Linked DNA regions of Neodiprion lecontei. The protein of the gene in region 1 binds, or shares a complex with, the protein of each later gene. Links are inferred from orthologs where the notes say so. Each region holds a gene or a part of one and is shown on either strand. Other genes may lie near its edges.

Evidence for each region.
Region 2: cytoplasmic FMR1-interacting protein (region 1) and membrane-associated protein Hem share a complex: the UniProt entries of both Drosophila melanogaster proteins name them as parts of the WAVE complex. The link is inferred for Neodiprion lecontei from reciprocal best matches to the Drosophila melanogaster genes Cyfip and Hem.

Annotation. Positions count from the first base shown.
Region 1 is NC_060265.1:7,519,464-7,527,031, forward strand, and holds the start of cytoplasmic FMR1-interacting protein, read right to left. Parts: upstream 5,339-7,568; 5' UTR 5,245-5,338; intron 4,867-5,244; 5' UTR 4,848-4,866; coding exon 4,638-4,847; intron 4,557-4,637; coding exon 4,377-4,556; intron 4,271-4,376; coding exon 4,089-4,270; intron 3,981-4,088; coding exon 3,456-3,980; intron 3,352-3,455; coding exon 3,147-3,351; intron 3,022-3,146; coding exon 2,676-3,021; intron 2,575-2,675; coding exon 2,404-2,574; intron 2,286-2,403; coding exon 2,203-2,285; intron 1,962-2,202; coding exon 1,893-1,961; intron 1,290-1,892; coding exon 1,216-1,289; intron 1,126-1,215; coding exon 720-1,125; intron 639-719; coding exon 439-638; intron 368-438; coding exon 1-367. UniProt on the Drosophila melanogaster protein: Plays a role in guidance and morphology of central and peripheral axons and in synaptic morphology. Also required for formation of cell membrane protrusions and for bristle development.
Region 2 is NC_060262.1:26,025,960-26,034,764, forward strand, and holds membrane-associated protein Hem, read right to left. Parts: upstream 5,246-8,805; 5' UTR 5,148-5,245; exon of another isoform or gene 5,072-5,147; intron 5,004-5,071; exon of another isoform or gene 4,993-5,003; 5' UTR 4,831-4,992; coding exon 1,462-4,830; 3' UTR 1,458-1,461; downstream 1-1,457. UniProt on the Drosophila melanogaster protein: Plays a role during growth of the oocyte.

The DNA of each region.
Region 1 (7,568 bases):
AACAATGTCGTTCAACTGGGCATGGTAGTAGCCTAAAACACCTGGAGATCCGTAATCATATCTCGGGAGTTTACACACTTTTGGCATTGCTTCCATTAGGGTCTTAGTAAACTGCAGGAGGTTTCCTTGGATGAGAGATTTCACTATTTTTAATAATTCTTCCATGACTACAGCAATCCCTTGATATCCAAGAAGTTTGCACATTGTACGGAAGTGGTATGAGCCAACAAAGCCCGTGTATTGACCATACTGAGTGCTATATGCAAGATTTAATTGTTTACTGCCCCATAAATAATGGTAAGACATCATAGGTGGCTTATCTCTGTGCACCGGTTGTGCAAATTGAAGACCTCGACATTTGACAAATCTGTTGAAGGAAATACGAAATAATGACAACATGTTCGTAAGGTAATATTCGCAACATTGATATGAATATACCTATTTGTGGCAGCATTGTAACAGTAATTTGGCAAGAAGTCATAATTTAGCTCCCAAAATACGTGAAGAGTAATTCTACCATATGGGGCAAGAACGTTGTGATTAGCTTCTCTGAACATTGCATCATATTCATCCAATGCCAACCATTTGCTCAAAAGTTTATGAGTGAGGCGGTTGACTTGTAGCAAACCTTCTAATTCCTACACAATAAAAAGTTTGGTATAAAGAGCAGTCGATCAGCTAGAAAAATGTGATAATTGACTCGCAAAACTTTGGCTTACCACAACACCTGTAATATCACCAGATTCGAATTTGCTAACAGCCAAATCCAAAGATTTTTGCATATCAGCATTGATTCGTTGTGTGATCAACTTATTGAGATCAATGCTTCTTCCTAACAGTTGTACGTGCCGTTGTTTTAATAATGTTTCATATCTGTTTGCTCGAGGATATGGCAGTAAGTAAGCCCCAAGAGCAACGCATTCAACGCGAAATCTCTTATCAAGCAAAATGCTGGCTGCCAATTGCTTGTAATGAGCGAAAATTTGTTCACTTAGCTTGTAGACGAATTGGTCAAAGCATAGGTTTACTTCTGCCTCAACTTCATCATAAAGGAATTGCTTTCGAAATATTGTTAACGCGTATAATGCACTGTCGTTGTACAGATCCAAAGGGTACAATACGAATCTGGAATTTAAAAGCATGAACAGTTGACGTAGGTCAATGATTAATTTCAAAGACAAAATCTACTGGAAATTTTACAGTAATCTCACTCACTCCATCATTGAAGGTTCTTTGCTTCTAAGAATATGGTCAGTCAGGATCCATGGCATCGACATTTCAATCGGGAACTGGAACATAAAAATTCATTTAATTTAACTTTAAATGGTGTTTCTAATCCAATGTTAGTAACATTTTGCACACAAAATAAAAGAAAGATTAATTTATAGTGGCAAAGACAGCACAGCAACCAACACGAAATGATGCAAGCTAAAAAATCAAGATCTACGTCCAAGAATTATTGTGTAGAGCCTTGGCACAGTACGTATTATCATTTCATTTAAAATCACTGTACATTATAATATTTAATGTATGTATACGGAGTTGCAGATGAGTATTCAAATTAATCTATTTTTAAAATCATCCACTTCGTTATACCTACTATTACCTCAAATAGCATAACAATCACATTACTTGTTTGGATAATTCTTCTTGCAGTAAACTTTTGTCAATAGAAATAAGATACCATGAACGCATGTACGAAGCAGAAAATTTGATCAAGCAATCACCCATTTTGAGTCAGAGGTATAATAATTGGTTTATTCAAATTAAATTACTATTACTTATGGTATTTCCCAGTGAGGCGTGCAATTCCAACAAAAAACGGTACTAGAAAACGAACGCAACAATAACAATAACGTAGCTACAACAGATGGTGGTTACTTGGTGTGTACCTGAATGCGTTTCTCCATGGTGATCAAGTCGCTGCATTCTTCATTATGCTGATGACGCACTTGGCATTTCTATTCATGAAATCAATTACACACGGTTCTATTTGTCTGATATTGTGAAGGTCATGAACATCTACTAACATTGAATATATTGTGTAGGTCTAGTGAATCGATACCAGTATTTTATCAACTATAATTAAACAGAATGGTGACTGACTCTTTAAAAATAGTCAATTATGGCACGTCGGCTTTCAAATCGCGTGATTAATTATTAGGTCTTGTTATATAGTAGTTTTCTAATATTTATGTTTACCTGAATCCTCCGGCCCATGGTCATCTCAAGGTAGAATTCACGGTACCAGAGTTGTGATAGATCACAGCAGTTCTGCAATGACTCTGGAATAAGAGTTATTAATTGACAGTAAAAAGGTAAAATGATAACAATATACGTTTTGTAGTTCAAAATATGAAATGATACAGCGTGTACATACAGTTGTACATACGAGTGACTTACCGCTAAAACTAAGCAAGTAATTCCAGTAAAAACTTGTTTTATGAAATTGATCGATCTGCACGAGATATTGCCCATCTATATCCTTTCTCAGCGTTCTCTTACCTCCGCTCTTATCTGCAATTAGTGACTCCAACATCGTACGTACCATGTACAATTGAGTCGATGATGGACCTTCAAACAATTCGGAATAAATCTCATTATGTGTACAATGGCCACGAATCAATATCTTAGTAATATTTATAATTGCAAAAAAATGTGTGAACCAAACTTACCAACATTTCTTCTTGGAACTTTAATGACAAAACCATTGTCTGGATCTTTTTTGCCCTTTAAAGCTGGGTCCGCTACAGGTTCAACGCCTTTTTGCCAATCTGCACAAGTCTCTCGGACCGATACAATTATACTTCGAATCAAATCTTTTTTATTCTTGGTAGCCTTTCTGAGTGGTTCTCTTAAAATCAATTGTACAAAGTCCTGTAGTTCAGCGTAAATGTTTCTGCGTATAGCATCGATAAAGACAGTTTCCATGCGAGCCATCAGAACTTGCAGGCCCTTGATCATAGCTATAACTTCAATCAGAGCAAACTTTTCTTCATCTGTGTAATTGTATCGGGTTGCCTACAGAAATTGAACTTGTTATTCATTGACCTTGCTTGGATTGCAGGTAGTCGATTAATTATTAATACGACGGTTGGCTAAGAATGTGAAACATATTATCAATTTAATTTTAGAACTTTACCAACCCGTTCATACTCTTCAGCTTCTTGCGGACATTCTTTATTCATGTGATGGTCCGTAGGATGAAGTAATTTCCAGCTATACAGTTCTGTAACAACGCTGGTCCACTGCGATAACAGTTGTAATCCTCGCAATGCCAATTCAGCTGTTTCTCTATTTTCCCCATCACTTCCACACTCCTTATACGTTGTTGTTACTTCATTACTGTACCTGAACAGAAAGTTAAATGGATTATTATAAATACAAACGTAAGTATGAAGACTTTCCAAAATTGAATAATCGTGTACGTTCAGTGTTGATATTATGAGTAATACCTCGCCAATTCGCTGATGTATTTGACGTGATCTTCTCTGATTTGAGGAAGGTGTACCATAAGATCTGCTTGTGGACTCATACTGTTAGAAGAAGATGAAAGTGGCCACTTTGAAGAGTCGAAGTGCTTCGACCGTTTGATGTAATTGAAGGGAGCAATTTGCATATCTCCAAACAGTGGTACGACCTCCAAGTTTTTAAATATTCTATCAATCCTGTCTAGTTTCAACTTCTTTTTTTGATCCAACTTATTAATGTTACACAAGTCACTGTCCATCAGAAATAACCCAAAGCCCATGACCTTAACAAGCATGTGCTTTTCATTTGGTGTTAAATACATCTTCGTTTCGAACATGTGTACACAAATATTAACTACATCTGCTAGAAGCTCTTCATACCCAGCAATTTTCTCTAGATTTTCTTTTACGGTGTCACGAATTTTATTTTGCGTTGCCAGAAACAATGACAAATTCTGAGACTCTTGAAGAGTTTGCGAATCAGTCATTACTTTCAAAAACTGAGCAGCTCTGAAATAAAATAATGTAGTTGGTGATACAAATAAATTGTTAATATTGATTAGAGATTGTTCTCAACTTTTAACTGTTTACTTTTGCTTAAAGTATATATACCCATACCTTCTGTACGTTGAATAATCATTCTTAACACTCGATTTCATATTTTTTAATTCATCGAGAACAGCAAACATATTAATGAATTTTCCAAGAGTTAGTAGGTATGCTTCAGAGACAAAATCCTTTCGCTTCTCATGGTGACACAAGCGCTTAACTTCAGCAGAAAACCTTTCAATAGCTTTTCTCTGATTTAACAAAGAGAAATATGATTATAACTATTTTCCATTTTCATTTATGATGTATATTAAATTTGTAGCTTCTGTATTTTAGTTAGGATAAAAAATCACCCACTTGAAAATACATAAAGTTCAGCAACTTGTTCACTTCAGGTGCTAAGACCTCAACTGTTTTCTCATATATTTCAACACGATTTGGCTGCTCATTGGATTTTGGTTGAGGAATTGCTCGAGAACAACATCTCCAGGTATATAACATTACCGCATGCTCTAGACCTTCTTCGAGTAGTTCGTTCTGTAGGTAAAAAATAAAGAAAATAACAGTAATTATCCAACTATTATAGGGTTGATCATAATGTGAACTGAATAAATTTACCAAACTAGCGTGTACAGTTGCCTCTTCAATGTACTTGGCAATACCAGTGACAAACCCATTTCTATCTTCAAAATTTGTATCAAAATTAGCTTGATAAACAACGGAGCACGGTTGGGCTTCAATGCAAGGCTGCTCATCAGGCAGGGTAAATTCGTCGAGTACATCGACATTTGATAAAGCATCAGCCAATGTTACCTTATCGGTAGCCATTGCTGTGTTTTGCTATAGTCTAAAATTGAATTATAAAATAGGTGTAAAGCGTCAAATCGAAGGATTTAATATGTGTAAAGATTGCAGCTAAAGATTGCGCACATACAATTTCGGAAAAGTAGACTACATAAAATTTAGGTAGAACGTAGAGATTATTGTATTTTTTAATAGCAAGTTTGAAATACACTCGAATTATTTAACAGACGAGCTCTGTTTACTCTTGGGAAGATCAGTAAATGTCCTCTTTGTTGTCGAGGTTATATTTATAAGATGAGTAATCAAACAAGGAAATGAAAGTGGGAAATAATCATTTGGTTAACGTGATTAAAGACAAGCCAGTGTCAGGTATGTGAAATTTTTTATTTAATATTTCACGAATTTTATTCATAAGACATACCTTCACAATAATTTGTCACAGTTGAAAAAATTGACAACAAACGTCACCCGACAACTCCACCCCAAGGTAAAGAGTACTCAAGAGACTTCTGGGAAAAGTCATTGTTCCATGGGAATTTATCATTCCTACCAAACCCTGAGAAAAAAAGGCCCACGCGTAGCTGCATGGTGAAATGTAATTTAAACAGAGCAGCAGGAAGCAGTTCTACACGGACCGTTGGTGAGTATTGAAATACAGCTAATGATAAATATGGCACGGGAAGGAGGAAATTGATAAACCAGAACCTAGAGTTGGGTAAATTTTAAAATTTATTCGAAAGTCTTTTAGACGGATAATTAGATCTATATGTATAATAATAAACCTCTATTCTATATTACAAATAATTTACAATATGGATGACAATATAATTTTACAATTTTCAAAAAATTGCACATATTTTTTCATTTTTTTTTTTACCTGGCTCGGTTTCGATAGAGAATTCTATTGACTATTCATTCATTCTCGCACCAACAAATTAAATAGCAATAACAATTACGTTGAAATAATAATATAAAAGAAAAGTTGAAATTAATAGAATCTACAATGTTCAGGGATATCTCCAAATTTGTTATCTACAACTCGCTATATAAATATATATGTGTACTGCAGTTATCAAATTAATATGAAATTGTGTGCGCATATTAAATGATGAGGTAAATTAAAAAGTGAGAATATTTTCCAATAGCGTGAAAATTAAAAGAATCAAAAGTAATAAATTAGGAGTAGAGAAAATTAGAAATAAACGTATATTCAAATCAATAATAAATGAATTCAGTAATTAATTACTATTAAAATGTGCAACCTTAATAATATCACATTGAGAAACGTTACATGTGTGTAATTATAATAATAAAATGCGAGAGATAAAAGCGTTCCAAAAATATGGCTTTGATATCATCAAAGTAAATTTAAAACTAAGACCATGTTTTTCAAATTTCACACACCACAGGTCATGATGCTCATAGACTCATGAATTGCCCAATCAATATCGTAGACATATGCCCTACAATTTTCATGTATCTAAAAAAAGCATTGAATCTCTTTTAATTGTAATGTTCAAACTCAACGACTAAGTCTCATTTTTAGGATCTATTAGATTATCTTGGCCACGTGTGTTTATTCTTGCTTTACTAAATATAACTTTCTTGTTTGGTTTTCAACTACTCAATGAACATTGCTACGCAATCACCAACTGGTACACAGATAGAATCAAAATTTCACCAATGTACCTTGTTTAGCTCTACTGCTGGTATCTCAGAATTGATACCCACACGATAAACTGTTTTTTTTTTTTTTATAAAACTACTATGATCAGTAGTTCAAAATATGAGACATACAGACACGTGTTCATGTTTCAAACTTTCGTAATTAATTACATTCGTGATGGTTGTCATATAGTTCGATCCGTTGCACTTCTGGATATTTTTTCTATATACTGTCTAGTGTTAATAGCGGTTTATAATGCGTACCATCGGCCTCTATTCACACATCACACAATTAATGGCTAAAAAACTATTATTATCAACTATAGACAAAACCTAGTACACTCTGCAAACTATAAGTACAAATATTTGAATAACAACAAACAGTGTTGGAACAATATATCTCACACCCCTTGCACGTGCGTGGAAACAAAATAAACGAAATCAAACGAACCAGCAGCATGCTTTCAAAGTTGTACGTACACATTATCTTCTATAAGTGTATGTAGACGGATAATTGTTAATTAGGTTCTGAATGATTTTCGTTGCAATGCACAACAAAAAATTTTCCTGAAAATTTATTCCGAATAAAATCAACAAAAACTGTTCTATATTTGCGTTACATTCCCCAGATATGGTCGAAAAATATCGCGATAAATGGCAAGAATCGTTAATAGGTACATCAAAGTAGATTTTTTAGTAACGATCACGCTGTCACTACTGAAAACTGTAATATTATAAAAGTGATTCTGCTTAGGTGATATGGTTTTCGACTAAAAATATTAGATATAGTGGCTTGAATTTGGCTCTTTAGTTTTATGAATTCTCTGTTGTGATCCGTTCGTGAATAAAATATACAAAAAAACAGTTTTACTGTACTTTCCGGAAAATTGTTTCAAATGAGAAAATTTACTGCTTGCATTTTTCAAGTGAATTTCTGTACTAAATGATTCCACAATTTCGTCTATAAAAAATTATCAGTAGCTATGGCTCATGCAATGTATCAGTTGCATCCACATTTGGCTGAACAGATCGTAACAGGAAATTCATTTATACTATTATCACCTATCTTAGGTGCTTACT
Region 2 (8,805 bases), on another chromosome or scaffold:
CCGACAGCTACGGTCGCGACGTGATGACGTCGGTACGATTAATCTGTTCGAAATTGTTGCCGGGCGACTCGAACGAGCATATACCTATATATCCCTGAGGAAGTCCTCCTGAGAGTACCATAGTAATTAGACAACATAGCGCGTCATACGGCTGAGTCGTTATCCGATCACATTCATATTTCGCAACAACCCGACCTCCGATCTTGGTGTGATATATCAATTCCTCGTGTATGGACAGAGCAGCGCGGTCACGTGACTCAAAACAGCTGTGGAAGCTGTGGAAGGGGAGCCGTGATTCACAATCGAAATCACTTGAAATCATGATCATCGAGCTTAGATAGATCGTTGACTGAAGACGCTTTTTCCAAAACAGCGTTGTGATTAAGGAGAAATATTTCGAACGATTTCATTTTCATCATTCCTTAAAATTTTCCAGATTAGCTGGTTAATAAATGTTTTGAAACAAAATACGACGCTTTTTTTACGAGTACACCAATGCGCGGGACGAAAGATATTCGAATCTACCGCTAACGAATTTTACGATAAACGTAGGTAAAAATCAAATGGTTATCGGATAATTGATCGGCAATTAGCGTACTTAGATATTTAAATATTCCGAAAAGCTGATTAATGTACATTAATTGTCCCGTATATTCTTATTACAAAGACAAGCCAACCCTTTACACGGAGATATAATTTGGCTTGATGTATTTTCAACGAACGTAGAGATGATTGACTTTATTATCAGTATAGATATAAACTATTTCAAAATAGTTACAATTTCCAATAAAAACATTAGCTTATTGTTAAATGATAAATGTATCGTACCATACATATAATACAACAATTATACAATATGTTGTAAATACGTATAAATATAAACTGCATTTGTACTGCAGCTTATGAAGAATCAATAAAATATTGAAAAAATAAAGAACTTACAAGCTATTCTATTGAAAAATGAAATAAAAAGATTGCGCAAGTCGCATTCTTTCCAAGATTTTGATGTTCAAATAGTATCCAGCTAGTTTTAATTAAAAAGAATGTTATCGCTCGATTCATTTCTGTTTACGTTACAAAATTACAATAAACTACGTCCTATAAATATCGGCATTACTCAATCTATCTATTACAATTCGTTTCCTAGAGCCAATACAAGATTTGGATCAGAGGTACTTTGATTTACATATGCGTATAAAATAAAAAATATTTCCTGATTGGCTCTACTGGTTTTAATATTAAAATCAGGTAGCCTCAAACAAACTAATACCACTATTAAGTGTACACGATATTCTAGAGATAATATTACACTATCGAAAATAATCAGTTTATGGAAATACGCGTCTCAGAGTTCGACTTACCGAATAACATATACATATACTATTATGAAACTACCTTCGATTCACGGCAAGCTTAGACAGTAAGAAAATACTCGCAATCCTTGTTTATTTCCAAGCATCGTTATTGCTGTGCTTGACCCATTTTATACACATCGTGATAAGCATTACGTATTAACGCATATGGGAAACAGCTCTCCAATAAATCCATGGTTAGAAAGGGTGATTCTTGAACGATCTGATCGAGGAGAAGGTACACAGATTCTCTATTCTTTGTTGCCTCTTTGTCTGCCTCCTGCCCTAATCTCAAAAGACTGGATGATGCCAGTGCCAAGAACTCCTTCATTCTGTCTTCAATGTCGTTTTGACCACATATCGTGAACAGTGCACCGAATATATTGTTTATGGCAGTGGCCATGCAATGTATATTGTTAGAATGCCCCTCCAATGAAGCCCTATAGAACGAGTTTTCGTTGCGAGCTAATTTCGGAATGGAAACAGCGACGAATACCATTAACAAACAGACTAAAAGATGCTCGTCTTCATCTGCTTCAGCTTTTTGACTCCTCAAAGCTGCTGCTAGGGTTGGATCAACTTTGCACGTCAGCCCCGCAGCAGATGTCATTTCGGAAACAATCCTCATCGGATCGCCCGAAGGCAAGTGGTGCCGAAAGTCTAATATAGAGCTGAGCAAAAATGGAATCCGCTCCTCCAAAACGTCGACCAAAGCTGCCTGGGCTAATTGTCTGAAGCTCAAAATCACCCCAACTATTGTAACCCTTTGAAGAACATTGTCGACTTGCTGTAGCCTTTTGAATTGTTCCTTCATCACTTCAGGCTTATCAAAATTCGTTCTCAATGCAACTAAGACGTCCTTATTACCAGCTACTAATTTTTTCAGTTCTTGCACCTGACTCGCGATGTGCCACATCAGTGTTTCATTCAACATTTTCATACCGTAAGGTCCAATCAGTTCGGCAAGAGCCCTGAGTTCGTTGATATCAGAAAATTCCTCAGCGTTGAAGGGAATCGCACTCTCGGCTGTGAGGCTGACGAATGCTCTTTGATTTCCTGAATAGCAAATGTTTCCTGCGCTTACTCGTCTCAACAACACTTCGGAGTACCACTGCATGTACAACGAAGCTATAGTTTTGTCCCCGTGGCTATCGAGCTGTTGAGTTTGTTGCAACAAAGCATTATTAAAAACTCTAGTTATATCGATGTGAACGTAGTTTTCGACAGTTTGCAATACATTCATGTAAGCTCTAACGCTGACAAATAACTCTGATGGTTTAGCAATGACGCTAGTATCCGGATTGAACATCACCATACCAACTAAAGCTTTGGCGAATCGTGTTTCCAAGTGTTGATGTAAGTACTCCCTAGGAGCAAATGTATATTCCCACACATTGATGGTGGGGCAAGAATTTATTGCGAAACACAATTCTGTTAGAGCCATGTGAAGTTTGTCCATTGTCGTAAGGTCTTCTCGCGTTTTTCTGTAGCTTTCAATACCGGGTTTATGAATCTCGTACATATTTTTCTTGTTCTTATCTTTTTTCTTGCGATTCACTACTTGAGATATTTGCGCTGCACAGTGCTTAGGCAGAAGCTTATCTGACATTGTACACTGCTCGTCGCAAATTATGGTTATTATATTTTTAGCCTCTTTGGCCATTTCGTCCAAAAACATGTTAACAACAGACAGACTTCTTTCTCTGATATGATGACGTTCTTCGGGGCAAAGTTCATGCGTACAGCTTTGAAAATGGCTACACATCAATGGAAAAGCAACAATGTATCGATTCTGGGCAGGAAATTCTAAACACATGTGAAATTGATCTTCGAATATCTTGCTGTAAAAGCAAAATATCGAGAGATCGGAAGTTTCCACCAACATCTCGTCTAAATTGTCAACCATTTTGGTGTGAAAAATAATACCGTCCATAAACGAAGCCAATTCCCTGTTATCCGCGAGATTCATATTGCACTTTGCAACCGACATATAAGCCTGCAATCTAAACCAGTCAAGCCTGAATGCACGAAAATCAAACAACTCGTTATCCTCGACCTGTTTTACTGTTAAACTCGCAATTGAAGAGCACATGTCGCTCAGAATGGCTCCTTCATCCTCAGGACACACAGGCAAATTTTGTATCATTTGATGCAGAGCTGGTGCGTCAAATCCAGCCAAAAATTGGACGTAATATCGTTGCAGGACTTGGGAATACTTTCTAACAAGAGCGCGCAATTCCTCGCAGTGAAACAAGAGTTCAGGGAGCTGCCTGTCGACGAGGTCATCGCCTCCACGACCCTTTCCTTTTCCCTGAATAGGTGGATTGTCACCGTGTCTCAAGAGCCACAGCACCTCGTCTCGGGCATGAGATAATCCCATGAACACTAGCAGAGCTTTTGGGCCCAAGAGCCCTGGATGATCGGATAATATCAGCCCCAACTCCTTCAGGGCTGTTCTCAAAAATTTTCGCCTTTCTCGATGCCTGTGTCCAGCTTTCTGAATGGCTTGACTGTAGCAGTCCTTCACTTCAGATACTCTCTTGCTGTACCCTTTCATGCTTTCAAAAAACGACTGAATGTATTGGTGAATATATATGACTTCGTCTCTAAACAGAGCTAAAACCCATCCTGATTCGAGGGCGGTGGTCCATAGTTTACTGGGTTGCTCCTGGTTGAGGACCGTGTGACAAAGAGTGAAACCGAGGACAACCCATCTTTCTAATCTATCTAAGCTCAACGTTTCACAGGACATCGTGTCCGTAACGGCAGCTTTAAGCAGCTGCCCTGGACTACCGACGAGGCTAAGTTTCTTGTCGGCTCTCCATGTGTCTGCCGATAAATTTCTTCCAGGGTAAATTGGCCACAGCGACATCAGCGCATTTATCAGTAATTTACCATGCGGCACAAACTCTTCGGACAATTTCTTGAGCGGCGCATCGTAGTCCATGATCATCTGGCCTAGTCTCGGAAAGCTGGGATCTGACTGGCTGTGGACCATTTCGTGGGCCGCGTTGAACAGGCCTAAGACAGCTTTTCGATCCTCAACTCTGGACAGAAGTATCATCAGGCTTACGTAGGTGATTACCAGGTCCAGGTAGCCCTTTGTCACGTCAAAATTTATCGTTATGTCCATGTGAACTCCGCAAGCGTCCATCGTAGTCAGCAGTTCACAGACGTTGTCCTTGAAGTCAAGAAGGTCAACAAAGGTGTAGTAGTAGAGGGACAGAGACTTGATAATCTCGGTGCGAAGGTTCGTTATCGCAGCCAGTCCCTTGATGTCGATATTGGGAAATCTTCGGATTATGTATTTAATCGCAGACTCCAACGTTTTGTCGGACAGAAACGCAGGCTTGGATTTGGCATCGCCGCATGCTTTTTTTATGTTGTAAATACGAGTAAGCATACCGGTGCCTCTGTCGTTCAATATAGCCAGTTTCTCAGCCAGCTTCTGCTGGCTAGGAATAATTGGTCGCGCCATATTCGTGGCCTGCTTGTCAATGAACGGCGGTGAATCAGTAGAATCGCCTCATAATTTATTGAACCAAGTGTCAACTGTGTTTCCGGATGACAGGAGACCCCACCCAGGGGTAGCTTGTAGGCTTGACAGGATTTCCAACGTAATTTCGGCGCACAGCGATTTCTGAAATATAACTGATCGATTATACTAACTCGAGTGAGCTTTTTTGACGGTTGTACAACGAAGTGAAATGTTTTCTTACCAAATTTATCATTTCATTGCAACATTGTCACAAAATTATTAACACCCACTACACATCGATGTGTAAACTTACTCACCACTTTAAGTTATCAGTCCTTAAACTCAGCTGCGGCGCTCTCTTGTTCACTGCATCCAACTGCTGTGTGGGGAAATATTCCTCACTAGGTTCCTCAATCTCGCGCAGGCAGTCGGTATGAATCGCTTTTACCAACCGAGAGAAGGGGCAAACCATATGACCATACCGAATACGTTAATGAGAGTATTTTGAAGACAAAATCCATCACGCGTCAAAAAGTGCACAGTGCAATTCCATATTACGGCGTATCACAGAGTATTGTTATGTAACTGTGGATATGCTACATCTTTACGTATTTTTCCGCCTTATGAACTCGCAGTGAAATAGTATCCGCCTGAGCATAGGCAATTCACATTACTTCCATAAGTTCGCAATCAGAAGTTTGTCTTGTAACTGGATTCGAGTCCATGCGTTCTCAACAAAGCTTGTAATTATTAATTGTTTACTTTCGCACACAAATATTGAGCGGGTTTAAGTTTCCATTGTACACATAGCACTACTGTTGTTCACTGACTCGTTTCTAACTGGTCTTTAAAGCTTGGTCGATGTGGTCAGTTGTCTGTACACAAGAGGATCTTCTATCCCGTTGTTCCGCCACGCCGCACGCTGGCTTTAAGATTTCAGTAGCTGGTGTGAAAAAAGTGAATAATATTTTATGACAATAATAAAAAAAAAAATCAAAAATTCACCAGAATGTTCATACCAAAACGTGATTGAAATACTCGGACATAAAATAGAAACGAATCGAGGAAAGGGTTTTTAGGAATCACAAGAACATCCGTTGAAAAATCTTATTGGCATTGTTATGTACAAAAATTAGATGAATGAATCTTTATACAAAGATGTGAAGAATGAAAAGCTTGAGAAAAAAATATACGCACTCCATTGAGGTGAAATTATTTTTGCTATTTCCCTAAATGAATTTCAGAGACACGAAAAAGATGTTGAAGTAAAACCCTTCTGGCAACGTACAGGTCCGTCATATGTGTTGTGATGGTGCTGAGAGAATACTGGTTGCAGAAATAAATATTATTATTCATGAGCAGCAAGATCGATTTCTAAGCCTACTGCAATAAATCTGAATATAGTTTCCATGCAAGTTCTGCGTTATAGGGATGGGTTCTCAGCTGCCGGGCCTTAGCGTGTTAAAGTTTCAAGCCACAGCTCCATGCACCTTACGCTACGGTATTACCGTACATTAAGAACCTCTACAGAAATTACCTACGTATATCCGTATATAGGCGCTGGCTTCCCTATGGCCTCGTTCATCGAATATCGACGTGCCAGAAACCTATTAAAACCGGCACAAATATATTACAATCCGTTCACTACTCCCTAACCAACCAGCAATCGAGAGACGTCCGAGTACAGTAACAACGATCGCTGCCGCACGTTTAAATCGTTGAAACTATATCGTATGTTCTATACTTGAAATTTTCCGCGCAAGTGTGGACATATGAAATTGCAAGACATATTGCGGTTACTGACTTCGATTTTATTACCAGAAGTACGATTTATGGTAACGATCGAACGAGATTGATTGGCTGCGGTATTTAAAAATTATTATAGCAATTTTGCTTTCTCGTTAATCAGTTTTTTTTCTTTCCTGACGATGTTTCAATTACTCTAAATTACTTTGCACTACTCATTTTTTCCCATAAGTACACATTCCATCGTACATGTATACTAATTTAGTGAAAATTTTTCCACATCTCTAGTTTCCTGTTTAATCCATGTTGACGTGACTCGGACAGGTAGATTTTCATTCGGAGCAATCACAAAATTCACGGAGCATTAACCTTGGCTAGGGGGGAAGATAGGAGAATGAGGGGAAAGGGTGAGGGATGTTAAGGGTTCGTAGTTGCCGGCTGGAGGAGGATAGGGGGAGAGGAGGAGAGGTTGCACTATCTGCAGATCCATGCTATTTGCGCAAAGTGGCCTCCACCCTGAAACCACCTACGTTTAGGTGGTTGGGAGGGTAATACATTGTTTGCTCTTCGTTCACTAAACTAAACCGCATTCGGAATTAATTGCACGTTAGGAGGCCGCGGGATAATTAAACCCGTTTGCTTACCCGTTTCCCGGCTGCATCCTATCTGGTTTGTTGCATTTTTCAACCGGACATCTTGTCCCGAAAAATCTGATCCAACACGCTTTACTTCTAATTAGGAGCAACGGCCAGATGCAGTTGTATGCAGCGTAGGATTTCCATAAGTTTTACCGTGTGAAATAGAATTTCATTCTTTGAATCATGCGATGTATCAAATAATTATTTGCTGCATCAGTAATTCCGATAATGAGCGTTCTGCGAAGAAAAAATATACCACGCGGTTCAGGGACATTTATAAAATGTAGAAGTTTTCACCCTTGCAGTTCACTGGACCCTGGATCTTATACAGTATAGAAAACGGTTGAACGGTTTTCGCGTTATAGCGTCGATGACATCGTAGTCGGATAATCTTCGCCCAGAGCGAAGTTGCAGTCTGAAGGGTTGGCTTTCCGACAGCAACGATCGGGGGATTATTACAGAACCCGATGTAGGAAGCTGCGACACAGATTTCGATTTCATGACGTTCCGTCTGGTTGTTAGGGCAGCAGACACAGTCAAAGAGTCGGATATCGACGCATCGATCTTGAACGGTGCGGCTTCGGGATGGCTGGTGCGGACTAGGCAAGAGAGGATCCAAGAGGGTGATGGGGCTCAGGAAGGGGTGGTCCCGACGCGTCAGCACTTTAGTCTCGTTAATGACGTCATTTACCAGTCTCGGGGCGCCGACCGGCGAGCGTAAAGGAGATGTCCAGTGTCGGCTATCTCTTCTCCTATACGGTATACGTATATAGTTATTCGCTGTTTTTTTCAACCCCCGTTCGCAGCTCCTCCTCTTCTTCTTTCTCTTCGCAGGAGAGAATCACCCTTTGGCCATTTGGCCGCTTCGTTCCACGGCACATACGTATTTGTAAAAGCTTCACCCCTACCTTCTTTATGCAGACAGTCCATGGCCCGTACTCGGCCACAGTCCATAGGATATTGCCTGTATATACGCCGTCCGTAGATGGGTGTCATGGTAGTTCGACTCCGCGACGGACGCCCTTGCAACAGTTACCCGACCATTTCCCATTTGGCAGGCACACCAGACCCAGCACTTTTGGTGCCAACCGATAATTGGACGAATCGTAGACACTCGGCTTGCGCCCGATTACGAGCGAAGGTTTCAACCCCAAAGGCAGATCAGGGTCCTGCTGCGGGTCCCGAGTTGAGGCCGAAGGGTTGTACCTACATCGGCCGATATAACGGCGTCCGGATTAAAGGCTCTCCAGAGTCCCTCATTCCGCCCAAAGGTTACCACCAAATATCCTACCTCGCTATCTCGACACTACTTACTTCTCGCGGTTATCTGCGAGGCAAGAGATATAGGCGTCGTGGCCAAGGCATTATCCTCTCGCCGACGAGCAAAACTGACCAGCAATTCTGTTTAATTATAATCGTTAATTTACTTTTGCGAACGTATAGTTTGAAAGCCTCATCATAAATGGTTTCAAGTCATTGATCTAACTTTTGTCACCATTTTCAACCATTAATTGCATAGGTCTGTGCTTTTTTTCTCAAAGTTTTTTTACTGGAGTGTGTCAATAATTCACGAAAGTAGTCCTGACTGTAA